2 linked regions of the Oryctolagus cuniculus genome follow. The protein of the gene in region 1 purifies or fractionates together with the protein of each later gene. This does not show direct contact. Links are inferred from orthologs where the notes say so. Each region holds a gene or a part of one and is shown on either strand. Other genes may lie near its edges.

The links. The genes of interacting proteins can lie anywhere in the genome.
Region 2: the proteins of EBNA1BP2 (region 1) and BRIX1 purify together in Homo sapiens (affinity purification with mass spectrometry; 4 studies listed by BioGRID and IntAct, counting the BioPlex papers as one, with this or other methods). This does not show direct contact. The link is inferred for Oryctolagus cuniculus from reciprocal best matches to the Homo sapiens genes EBNA1BP2 and BRIX1.

The regions. Positions count from the first base shown.
Region 1 is NC_091438.1:129,855,012-129,860,605, reverse strand, and holds the end of EBNA1BP2 (probable rRNA-processing protein EBP2), read right to left. Parts: intron 5,411-5,594; coding exon 5,335-5,410; intron 5,091-5,334; coding exon 4,997-5,090; intron 2,151-4,996; coding exon 1,988-2,150; intron 1,864-1,987; coding exon 1,813-1,863; 3' UTR 1,671-1,812; downstream 1-1,670. UniProt on the Homo sapiens protein: Required for the processing of the 27S pre-rRNA.
Region 2 is NC_091445.1:60,583,845-60,590,092, forward strand, and holds part of BRIX1 (ribosome biogenesis protein BRX1 homolog), read left to right. Parts: intron 1-2,485; coding exon 2,486-2,556; intron 2,557-2,803; coding exon 2,804-2,853; intron 2,854-2,944; coding exon 2,945-3,018; intron 3,019-3,164; coding exon 3,165-3,215; intron 3,216-3,346; coding exon 3,347-3,448; intron 3,449-5,625; coding exon 5,626-5,754; intron 5,755-5,960; coding exon 5,961-6,230; 3' UTR 6,231-6,248. UniProt on the Homo sapiens protein: Required for biogenesis of the 60S ribosomal subunit.

The sequences.
Region 1 (5,594 bases):
TAAGCCCTGTGAGGACTCCATTTCCTTGTTATAAAATGGCACAGAAAAAGTCTCTTGCCTAAGGTCAAACAAGGAAGCAGCGGAGCCAAGCAGTTAACATCCGTGATGCACCACTGCTAGAGGGAGGCCAAAATGCACAGGAGGCTGAGGAAGCATGTTGGGAACAAAAGAAAACGGCTAAAAAAATTAAAAAGGTCAAATTCACATCAGAAATATGGCAAACATACTGAATTTATAGAATAAGAGTAAAAATGTTACAAAAAAGGACAAAGTGGAGAATAAAGAACTCTTGAAAGGTAAAATGAAAGCTAAAATATCCAATGAAGTGATTAGAAGGACAGGAGTTTGGTCTAACGGTGAAGATGCCCACATCCCAATTGGAATGTATGGGTTCAAGACCCAGCTCTGGCTTCCAATTCCAGCTTCCCAACAACGCAGACGACTCAGTAACTGGGCTTCTGCCACTCAGGTGGGAGACCCAGATTGGGTTTCCAGCTCCCAGCTTTGGCCTGAGCCCAGCCCTAATCATCACAGGCATCTAGGGAGTGAAACAGCAGATGAGAGCTCCCTTTTCTATCAAATATAACTTTTTAAATTTTTAAAATAAAATAAAATCTTCCCCACAAAAGAACTAAAATATAAACTTAGAAATTATCAGAAAGGGTTCAATATTTGACTCAAAGAAAACTGTAAGGTAGATAAAATGGTAAAGCATCTGGAAAAAAGTAAGAAAATCAGACAAGAAGAAAAATATAAGGTAAAGATTGACTCAAGAAAAATCAATAGCTGGGGCCTAAAGTACCGACATCCCATATGGGCACTTGTTCTAGTCCCAGCTGCTCCTCTTCCAATCCAGCTCTCTGCTATAGCCTGGGAAAGCAGTATAAGATGGCCCAAATCTTTGGGCCCCTGCACCTGCATGGGAGACCCGGAGGAGGCTCCTGGCTCCTGGCTTTGGATCAGCCCAGCTCCAGCTGTTGTGGCCAGTTGGGGAGTGAACCATCGGAAGGAAGACTTCTCTCTCTCTCTCTCTGCCTCTCCTCTGTCTGTGTAACTCTTTCAGATAAATAAATAAATCTTTAAAAGAAAAAAAAGAAAAATCAATAGCTGGATCACAGGAAATTTTATTATAATTCATCTAGCTATAAAGGGATTGATAGCGCTATAACTATTTCAAAGAGTGAGGAAGACATGAGGAAGGTTTTAAGTTAAAGCTTCATCGATCATAAAAGGCAATTTGGACTCTAAATTATCATCAATACATAGCAATGCTTACAACAACATATATTATAAGTAATTTCTAAACCTTCTAGTCCTGAGATATGTTTTTTAAGATTTATTTATCTGAAAGGCAAAGTGACAGAGAAAGGCCTTCCATCCACTGGTCCACTCCCCAAATGGCCACAACAGCCAGGTCTATGCCAGGCCAAAGCCAAGAGCCAGGAACTCCATCCAGGTCTCCCACGTGGGTGGCAGGGGCCCAAGTATTCGGACCATTGTCTGCAGCCTTCCCTGTTGCATGAGCAGGAAGCTGGACCAGAAGCAGAGTGGCTGGAACTCAAACTGGCATTCCAATATGGGATCCTGATGTGGCAAACAGCCCCTTCACTCACTGCACCACAGTGCCAGCCTCCTGGTCCTGAGGCTTTAATCAAGGGTATAAGTATATGTGTCTTTAATAATTTTTCTTTAGTTTATTAAAGGTATTTTTAACAAACAAACAAAAAAATAAAATAAACAGAAGGGACCCAACTGTATCAGGAAAATAAGGCTTCATCCCTTTTTCTTGGTTCTCTGTACAAAAGATGCTGTTTAGCGTGTTCGGTTCTTCATCTTCTCTCTTGTTCTCTTTCCAGGTCTCTTCTGCAGGGAAAAAAGCACCACACCTAGTCAGTCACATTTCTTCCCCAGGGTATGAGGGCACAGGGGTAGGGGAAGAGGGAGAGGAGGCTGAGCCAGCCCCAGCCTGGGCCCCCGGCCCACTTACATTTGACCCTTTCTTTCCAGGCCTCTTGAGGCCCTTGCCATGAGCTGTTTTGGCCCGGAAGCTGGATACATCATCGTAGCTCTCACGAGTGTTCCACTTGGAGCCTTTCTTCTTTCCACCAAAACCAAACTTCTGGTTTTTATATCGTCGCTTAGCATTAGGCCTGCAAAAACGTGGTCCCATAGGTTACTCACTGCATAGTACATCCTGGTGAATCTGATGACCCAATGAGAGCCCCAGTTTCCTTTCTGTAAAACCCCTTAGGCATTACTGTCACCCACGTTCTTACTCTACAACCTCCCCAAGCAAACTCACCTACACATGATCTTAACCACCAGGGCAGGGAAACAAGTCCAGAAGCAGAAAAGGATCTGCCTGTACCATGTGGCTTGCAGCTATCTTTGGAAACCTGTGTCTTTTAACAAATCTTGTATTTTAACAAACCACCCTGTACTGTTTCTGGTCCTCTCAAGGATATATATATATGCAGTTAACATTCAAATGTAAAAAACTGTAAAGCCTGCCATCCCAACTGAGAAACCTCAAAGTCAGCATATGAAAACCACATGGTCTCCCTCTTCCCTGACCAGTCTCACTGCAGGGGGGGCTACACCATCCCCCAATGCTGAGAGCTCGCAGGCACTCTCTAGACACACACTGAGTCTTCCTCTTTGAGCTCTGAGGTATTTCTTCAATGAATTTCCCTTCCCTACCTCATTACCAGGTTCAAGTCATTGTCACTGCTCATCTGGACTTTTGTAAAAATATCCTAACCAATTTCCCTGCTTCCCTCAAGTCCATCACCCACATAAGTAGTATGGTAATCTTCTTCAAAACATCAATATGGCCTGCTCATTAATGTGAGTAAAGCCCATGTGTGTCTCCCCACTAGCTACCCATGCTCCTCAACAGTCAAATAACAGCCCAGGGCCCTCCGGCCACATCTCTCCATTCCTTGCCTTGCACTGTATTCCCAGTGATGCACACACACCTGCTGTCTACTTCTATGCCTTTGCTCATTCACATTCTTCTTCCTCCCCAAACCAGCTTAGCTTCTCTTCTCCTGATTAATTCTTTTATTTTTATTTATTTATTTATTTATTTTGACAGGCAGAGTTAGACAGAAAGAGAGAGAGAGAGAGAGAGAGAGAGAATTATAGACAGTGAGAGACAGAGAGAAAGGTCTTCCTTCTGTTGGTTCACTCCCCTAATGGCCGCTATGGCCGGTGCTGCGCCGATCCGAAGCCAGGAGCTGGGTGTTTCCTCCTGGTCTCCCATGCGGGAACAGGGACCCAAGCACTTGGGCCATCCTCCACTGCTTTCCTGGGCCACAGCAGAGCTGGACTGGAAGAGGAGCAACTGGGACTAGTACCCTGCGCCCCAATCAGGACTAGAACCCAGGGTGCCGGCGCCACAGGAAGAGGATTAGCCAAGTGAGCCACGGCGCCAGCCCACCTAATTCTTTTTTTTTTTTTTTCCTAACAGGCAGAGTGGACAGTGAGAGAGAGAAACAGAGAGAAAGGTCTTCCTTTGCCGTTGGTTCACCTGCCAATGGCCGCCGTGGCCGGCGCACCGCGCTGATCCGATGGCAGGAGCCAGGTACTTATCCTGGTTTCCCATGGGGTGCAGGGCCCAAGGACTTGGGCCATCCTCCACTGCACTCCCTGGCCACAGCAGAGAGCTGGCCTGGAAGAGGGGCAACCAGGACAGAATCCAGCACCGCAAGGCGGAGGATTAGCCTAGTGAGCCGCAGCGCCGGCCTGATTAATTCTTATTCATCCTTCAGGCTAAGTTTATGAAGCCATCTCTGTTCTGTGTCAAGTATTCCTTTTTTCTTTTATTCAGGATTTATTTACTTCAAAGACAGAGCAACAGAGAGAGAGAGAGGAGAGATGGAGAGAGAGCTTCCATCTGCTGGTTCATTCCCCAAATGGCCAGGAAAGCCAGGTCTGGGCCAGGCTGAGACCAGGAGCCAAGAACTCCATCCTGGTCTCCCATGTGGGCAGCAGGAACCCAAGCAATTTTGCTGCCTTCCAAGGTACATTAGCAGGAAGCTGGATCGGAAGGGGAGCTCCCAGGACTCAAACCAGCAATCCAACATGGGATGTGGGCATCGCAAGCAGCAGCTTAACCTGCTGTGCCAACACCAGCCCTTAAGTCAGATACTTCTAAAATGTGCTTGCATACTACTCCCTAAATGCTTCTGTCATAGCATTTACTTTATTAAATGGAAATGCCCAACCTTCCAAGGCCTGACATGTAAATATGCAGAAGGGAGCAATGATAGCCAACATCGTCCCTTCTCATCTTCACACCGCAGTGGGGCACCTACTCTGTCTTCCTGCTGGCAGATAAGCAGTATTTTAGAAAGGTCAAGTGACCTGCTCAAAGCTACCTCCTCATGAGCAGCAGGCAGCAGCTACCCCTCCAGCTCTTCTCTAAACCACCACAAGGGTGCTACAATCACAGTGATTCAACATTCACTAGAAGTGTGCCAGATACTTAAAGAGCTTTATTTTTTAAGTTTAATTTACTTGAAAGGCAGAGCAAGAGCAAGACATCTATTCACTGGTTCACTACCAAAATGCCCACAATAGCCATGACTGGATCAGGCCAAAGCCAGGAGCCAGGAATTCCTTCTTGGTCTCCAACCTGGTTGGCAGGGAGTCGAATAGTGAGTGATCATATGCTCCCTCCCAGAGTTTACACCAGCAGGAAGCAGGGTAGGAAGCTGCATTGGAAGGGGAGTAGGAATTCACACCCAGACGCTCTGGTAGGGGATGTAAGCGTCCCAGGCAGCACCTTACCCACTGCAGCAAACACCCACCACAAAGTACCTTATTTCAATCTTCAAAGACTGGTATGGCTAAAAGGGCCCCACACGGACCATTAGGTCTTGGTCACAGCCACTCTCTTAACCGAGGCTGCTCCTGCTGGAGGTCTGCAGTTACGCTCATCAACCGCTGGCCCATGGCACTCACAGAACGGAACCATGCCCAAACTTCTTACCCCTTCTTCATCTGCCGGCCCTTAGCTCCTGCCTGTGTGCCCTTGGCAACAGGTTTCTGATCTCCTTCAAGGAAATCCAGCTTATCAGAGAAGCCTGTGGGTGAAAAAGTACTTTGGTCAGCACCATTATTTGTAAAGAAGCAAAGTTTAAACCTTAAAGAATGAGGCTGGTACTTACTACAATGATTTTAAGAGACACAGCTTGCTACCCACACCATTCCCAAAATTTTGGTCCAACAGTTAAAGATCCATGGAGACGTCTTTAAAGCTCTGTGTTAAAATTAACGGTGGTTCCCAGTACCCCCGTTCCTTGACATCCTTGGCAGAGACATACTGACCTTTCTGATATTTCTTAATGGCACTCATCATATGTGCCTTCTCCTGCTGCCTCTTTTGAAGAACCTCTGTCTGTACCTGTGATATGGAGACACAAACACTCAGACCCCTTCCAAACCTTTACTACAAATATCCATTCTTTTCATAATGACATTAACACAATGTGAAAATAACTGTTACATTCTAAGTATATTCTTAGTTCATCTTCTCAATTATTCAGTGAAGCTGAAATTACTATCCCCAGGGCCGGCATTGTGGCATA
Region 2 (6,248 bases), on another chromosome or scaffold:
CAGGCTTTTGGGAAGTAAACTGGCACATTGGAGTTCAACTCTGTCTTCCTATCTATGTTGATACCTTTGAAATTAGTAAAAATAAAATAATTAAAATATACTGTGTCGCTCCCCCTCTTCATGGAGGAACGACACAGGATCCTGCCTAGGCTTCATATCCGAGTCACGGCACCATTATGTCGCTCCCCCTCTTCGTGGAGGAACGACACAGGACCCTGCGCTGTTCTTTTCGTCTGCTCGGCCCTCCCCGGGTTTGCTGCTGGTTCTTCCCGGGTTGGTTACTATCCCTTCCACCTCCGTGGAAGGGCAGTTCCCCCTGGCCACATTCCCCACTTCCGCAGGGGAGCGGCACACCGCCGGCCGGCTCTCTTGGGGGCTGCACGGGTGTTCCTTCAGCTAGATGTTCCCCATAGATGTTCCTGGTGCATGCCGTCTCTCTCCTCCTTTATAGTCCTCCTCTGCCAATCCCAACTCGGCTGCCCACACGCCGAGTACGCTGCTCTCCTTCAATCAGGAGCAGGTCCTGCAGCTTGTCAAGTTGGTGAGAGGCAGCTGGGTAGAAGCTGTTGCCTCCTCTCCCAGCGCCATATTGTGGGAGAGCAGATGCATAGAATAAGTCTTAATTCCAGTAACTCAGTCTAGTCCGAATGCTCCCCACAATACTGTGTTTGGATTTGCTGATAAAGTGTTATAAGCTAGTGATAGGTTAAATTTTCAGTGTATTCTTGAAGGTATTTTTTAAAGCCAATTATTCAAAATTTAGAATTGTTCTTTTTTTAATATTTTATTTATTTTACTTGAAAGTCACAGTTACACAGGTAGAGGGAGAGGCAGAGAGAGAGGTCTTCCTTCTGCTGGTTCTCTCCCCAGATGGCTGCAAAGGCTGGAGCTGAGCTGAGGAGCTGAGCCGATCCGAAGCCAGGAGCTTCTTCTAGGTCTCCCACGAGGGTGCAGGGGCCCAGAGACTTGGACCATCTTCTACTGCTTTCCCAGGCCATAGCAGAGAGCTGGATCAGAAGGGGAGCAGCCGGGACTCGAACCGGTGCCCATACGTGATGCCAGCACTGCAGGCGGTGGCTTTATCTGCTATACCACAGTGCCGGTCCCCGAAATTTAGAATTGTTTTGTTCTCATTCTGTTTTGTTATTGGAAAGCTTTTGTTTATTCTTGTAGTACAGATTTTTGAACCTTGGCTACAATGTGTCATTGTTCTGTGTGCTGAGGAAACATTGTTAAATAGAAAAATGCCCCTGTTGTTATGAAGTTTACAGTCTAATAAGGATGCAAGCTATAGGTTTTCAAAAACCTAGTCTGGGCTGGGAAAGCACCTTTCCATAGGGATAATTTTCAACTTAATATTTGAGTATTTGAGCAGAGACTTTAGGGAAAGAAGGGTAGAGTTGGGAAGCGTGTTAGGTAGAAAAGAAGGTAAGTGCAAAGGCCCGGAGTGGCGCACACTTCCTCTAGTTGTGTTTATTCTGAAACTAGTAAGAAACAAAAGCGGCTGCCGGTGTTGTGGCATAGTGGATAAAGCTGCCACCGTGATGGCGTCTCATACGGGTGCTGGTTTCCAGTCCAGCTGCCTGCTGATGGCCTGGCAGAAGCTGTGCAAGATGCCCTCAGTCCTTGGGCCTCTGCAGTCAGGTCGGAGACACAGATGGAGTTCCAGGCTCCTGGCTTCAGCCTGGCCTTCTTGTGGCCTTCTGGGGAGTGAACCAGTGTATGGGAGCTCTCTCTCCATAGCTCTGACTTTCAAAATAAATCAATCTTATGTTACAAAAGAAAAACAGCTGGAGCATTTTTGTAGATGTGTAGTCTCAAGTAGTTAGACTTTATTAGTACTATATCAGATGGTTTATCAGTACTACAGTAATTTAAGACTTAGCTCCTGTAGTGTTTTGTATATTTCTCAAGTATGACTTTGTAAACTTTCAAGACAATGAAGTTCAGTTCAATTTGAAATAAGTTTTGTGTACTTAACACTTCTCACCAGTCCCTTGGTGATTTTATGGAACCATGTCTTCAGAAATGAAATTATAACTGGGGAAGAAGACCTTAAATTTTGTGATCTTAAAAAAGCCAAAAAGTAAAAAATCAAAATAAGCATTATGAAATGTCTTTGGTTCTATAAGCACTATGTTTGTAGGGTTGACTGCAGAATGCTATGTGTTGGACATATTTTCAGTTTGTTCACTGGAGAATGGTCAGAAGAAAAGAGGCTTCCAGTAATCTCCAAGTGAGACCTCTTAATACTATAGAATGCTGTGGCCCAAAAAAATAAATAAATAGGATATTTAAGCCAAAGCGGTAGGCAGAGTGACTACTCTACATGGGTAGAAAGTCTAAGAGGAACTTTAAATGTTTGTTTCTATAAATAAGTTAGACCTTTGTTACCTACTGAAATATTTAGAGGAAACTGGATATTATGATGAATTACTTAGTTCCATTTGTATTTATGTTATATGTGTGTACTTTTTTCATTTAGGTCTGTGAAATGAAAAACTGCAATAAATGCATCTATTTTGAAGCTAAGAAAAAACAGGATCTCTATATGTGGTAAGAGTATTACTAAGATTTGGATTGAACTTACAGAAGTGGATTCATTCTTGGTAGTTCTTATAGGTAGTCATTTATATAAAAGACTATAAAATGAAACAAACTATTCAATTTGGAAAACCTTGAACCCATTAAAGAAAACTAAGTACATTTACATTTTAAGCATGTTGTGCTGTTTCCTGGGAATAGGTGCCTAGCATTTACTACATTCTAAATTGTAACTAATTGAAAAAACTTCCTTCTTTAGGCTTTCAAATTCACCTCATGGGCCATCTGCTAAATTCCTTGTTCAAAATGGTAAGTTGACTTAGTTATAAATATTTTTAATGAGAAAGCTAAAACAATCTTTTGGAGTAATTGTGCCAAAGTTACAACTTTTTTTTTCTAGTTCATACCCTAGCTGAATTAAAGATGACTGGAAACTGCTTGAGAGGTTCTCGACCCCTTTTGTCCTTTGATCCTGTGAGTTCCTCATTCAGTATGTGAGATACAATTACTTATTCTGCACAGTTGTATTTTAGTGGATATAGTTGTAATTGCTTAAAAAAAGAAAACTGTTTTTAAATGTGCACTCAACTGTCAAATAATCTGTTTATTTTATTTTATAGGCTTTTGATGAATTACCACATTATGCTTTGTTAAAAGAACTCTTAATTCAGGTAAACAAAACTTTTCCAGAAAATAGTTTTATAACTGTAAGTGAGCATCTTTTGGACTTTTTGCTAACTGTCAAAAGCATGAATTATGTGTGATATTGTAAGGAGCTAATATACTTTTTTTTTCTTTTAAGATCTTTAGTACACCACGGTATCACCCCAAAAGCCAACCATTTGTGGACCATGTGTTTACATTCTCCATTTTGGATAATAGGATATGGTTTCGGAACTTTCAGGTTAGCTTTATTTTATTTAGACTTTAAAATAAATTGGGATACACAGGGCTTGGAGACACAGAAAATCAGATTAACAGACCCTTTTGTTTTAAATAGCTTCCTTTACCCTAAGAGATTTGTTGCAGATAATTCTATCTCATTCCTGAAGTGACCTCTGTGCACTCTTCTCATGACTGTCAGTTGATACAGGGTTTGAGTTTCCTAACAAGCCACCATATTTTTCATTTTATAAGAAGGAAAACCTATGAGGTACTTGGGTTCCCAATTTATGTTAAGTGCTATAAAGGATACAGTAAAGTACAGTATACAAATATTATAAAATACAGTAAAATATAAGTTTCTGTTCTAAAAGGCTACCATCCACCTGGGGGTTGGTTAAGACAGAGAAAAACATTACTCCTTTAGAAGGCTTAAAGTGAGGACTACTGGATGAGTCATATAGTGACTCATCAGGGAAGAGGTGAAAAAAGCAGGAGTTTGGTGGATTAAGTCTGCAGAAAGGAGGAGATGGGATAGAGACCAGCGACAATAAAATTTCAGATGGTGTAGGTCGTAAGCTAGGCGCTAGTCTGGCATGTTTTTTACTGACTGCCTTGCAGTGTGAGCTAAATGTGTCCCATTCTTAATTTGTATCGTTTGTAAGTTTTCTGTTAATTTCATAATCAGTAATAAATAAATAAAATCATGCCTTTTAATGTGATTTCAATCAGATCTATAATAATAATATATACTTGATTGAATCTTTAAAAGGGTTCTCCCATGGTGTGCTTTAAAACAGTGTATTAATAATGGCCACAATATATTTAAAGATTTATTTTATTTTATTTGAAAGGCAGAGTTAGAGATAGGTCTTCCATCTAACTAGCTTACTCTCCAAATGGCTGCAAAGGCTGAGGCTGGGCCAGGCCAAAGCCAGGAGGCTGGAACTCTATCTGGGTCTTCCACCTGGTGCAAGCCCCAAGGACTTAGGTCATCTTCCACTGCTTCCCTAGGCATGTTTGCAGGGAACTGGATCAACAGTGGAGCTTCCAAGACTCTTTAACAGGTACCCATATGGTATGCTGGCATTGCAGGCAATGGCTTGACCCGCTACGCTACAATGACAGATTCTAGTTGGCTACAACTTTAAAAATATATTTTAAACACAGTTTTTCAAGAATATGTACCTTGGGAGCTGGAACTGTGGCTTAGCAGGTAGACTGCTACCTACAGTGTTGGCATCCTATATGGATGCTTGTTCTCGTTGGGCTGCTCTGTTTCTAATCTTGTTTTCTGCTACGGCCTGGGAAGGCTGTAGAAGATGGCCCAAGGACTTGGGCCCCTGCACCTGTGTGGGAGACCAGAGGAAGCTTCTGGCTCCTGACTTCAGATCTGCCCAGCTCCAGCTATCACGGCCATTTGGGGAGTGAACCAGCGGGTGGAAGACCTCTCTCTCTCTGCTCACCTCCCTCCCTCCCTTTTCCCTCCCTTCTTCTCCCTCTCCAACTTTCTATAACTTTCTTTCAAATAATAAGTAAATCTTTAAAAAAAAAATAAAGAATATGTACCTTATTAAGGAGCAGGTGTCATGGCACAGCAGATTAAGCCACCTCTTCAGATGCCCACAGTCTCATAGCTGAGTTCTGGTTCACATCCCATTACTTACACATCCAACTTCCTGCTAATGTGTTCTGGGAGGTAGCAGATGATGGCTTGCTCAAGTATTAGGGCCTCTGCCACCCATGTCAGAGACCCAGATGTGGTTCCAAGCTCTTGGCTTCAGGATTGTTGTAGACATTTGAGGGTACAGTAAACCAGCAGATACAAGATCTCAAAATACCTGTCTCTGTTTCTGTCACTTTTCCTTTCAAGTAGATGAAAATAAATATATTTTTTAAAAAAAATAAGTTTTCAAAAATGCTTTTATATTAAACTGAGAAGCAAGATATGAACCAAATTAAAATTATTTAATTTGAAAGGACACACTAAGAAAAGGTTTGTATTTTGTCATACCAACTCTGTGTAACTAGTGATAGATTTCAGAAAATATTGATGCATTGGCACTTGTCAGGATTCACCTCTACCTTAATTTTGCTGATTGTAAGTTATTTAGGCACACTTATAATGAGGTTATAGGCAGTATATCTTCTAGGATAGTATATTCAAACCAAAATGAAATGTTTCCCTTTTTATTAAAGATCATAGAAGAAGATGCTGCTCTTGTAGAAATAGGACCTCGTTTTGTCTTAAATCTTATAAAGATTTTCCAGGGGAGTTTTGGAGGACCAACTTTATATGAAAATCCTCACTACCAGTCTCCAAACATGGTAAGCTGTTTCATTGTTAATGGTCTTTGTTGTACCAGAACATTTCTATGAAATAATTAATGTTCTCTTTTACCTATGAAACTGAATTTGGTGTTTGCTGCATAAACTTGAAAATTTCTACTTTTTTTTTAATGACACTGTGTGAAGGGAAATAGTTTTCATAAGTGAATGTCTTTGCCTTATTAAAATGTGTAATTTTTTTCTAGCATCGGCGTATTGTAAGATCCATGACAGCTGCAAAGTACAGAGAGAAACAGCAAGTGAAGGACGTGCAGAAACTGAGAAAGAAAGAGCCGAAGACCATACTTCCCCATGATCCCACTGCAGATGTTTTTGTTACTCCAGCTGAAGAGAAACCCATAGAAATACAGTGGGAGAAACCGGAACCTAAAGTTGATTTGAAAGCAAGAAAGAAAAGGATTTACAAGAGGCAAAGGAAAATGAAACAGAAGATGAACAAAGGGAATGCAAAGTGAATCCGCGGGTGACCAGAT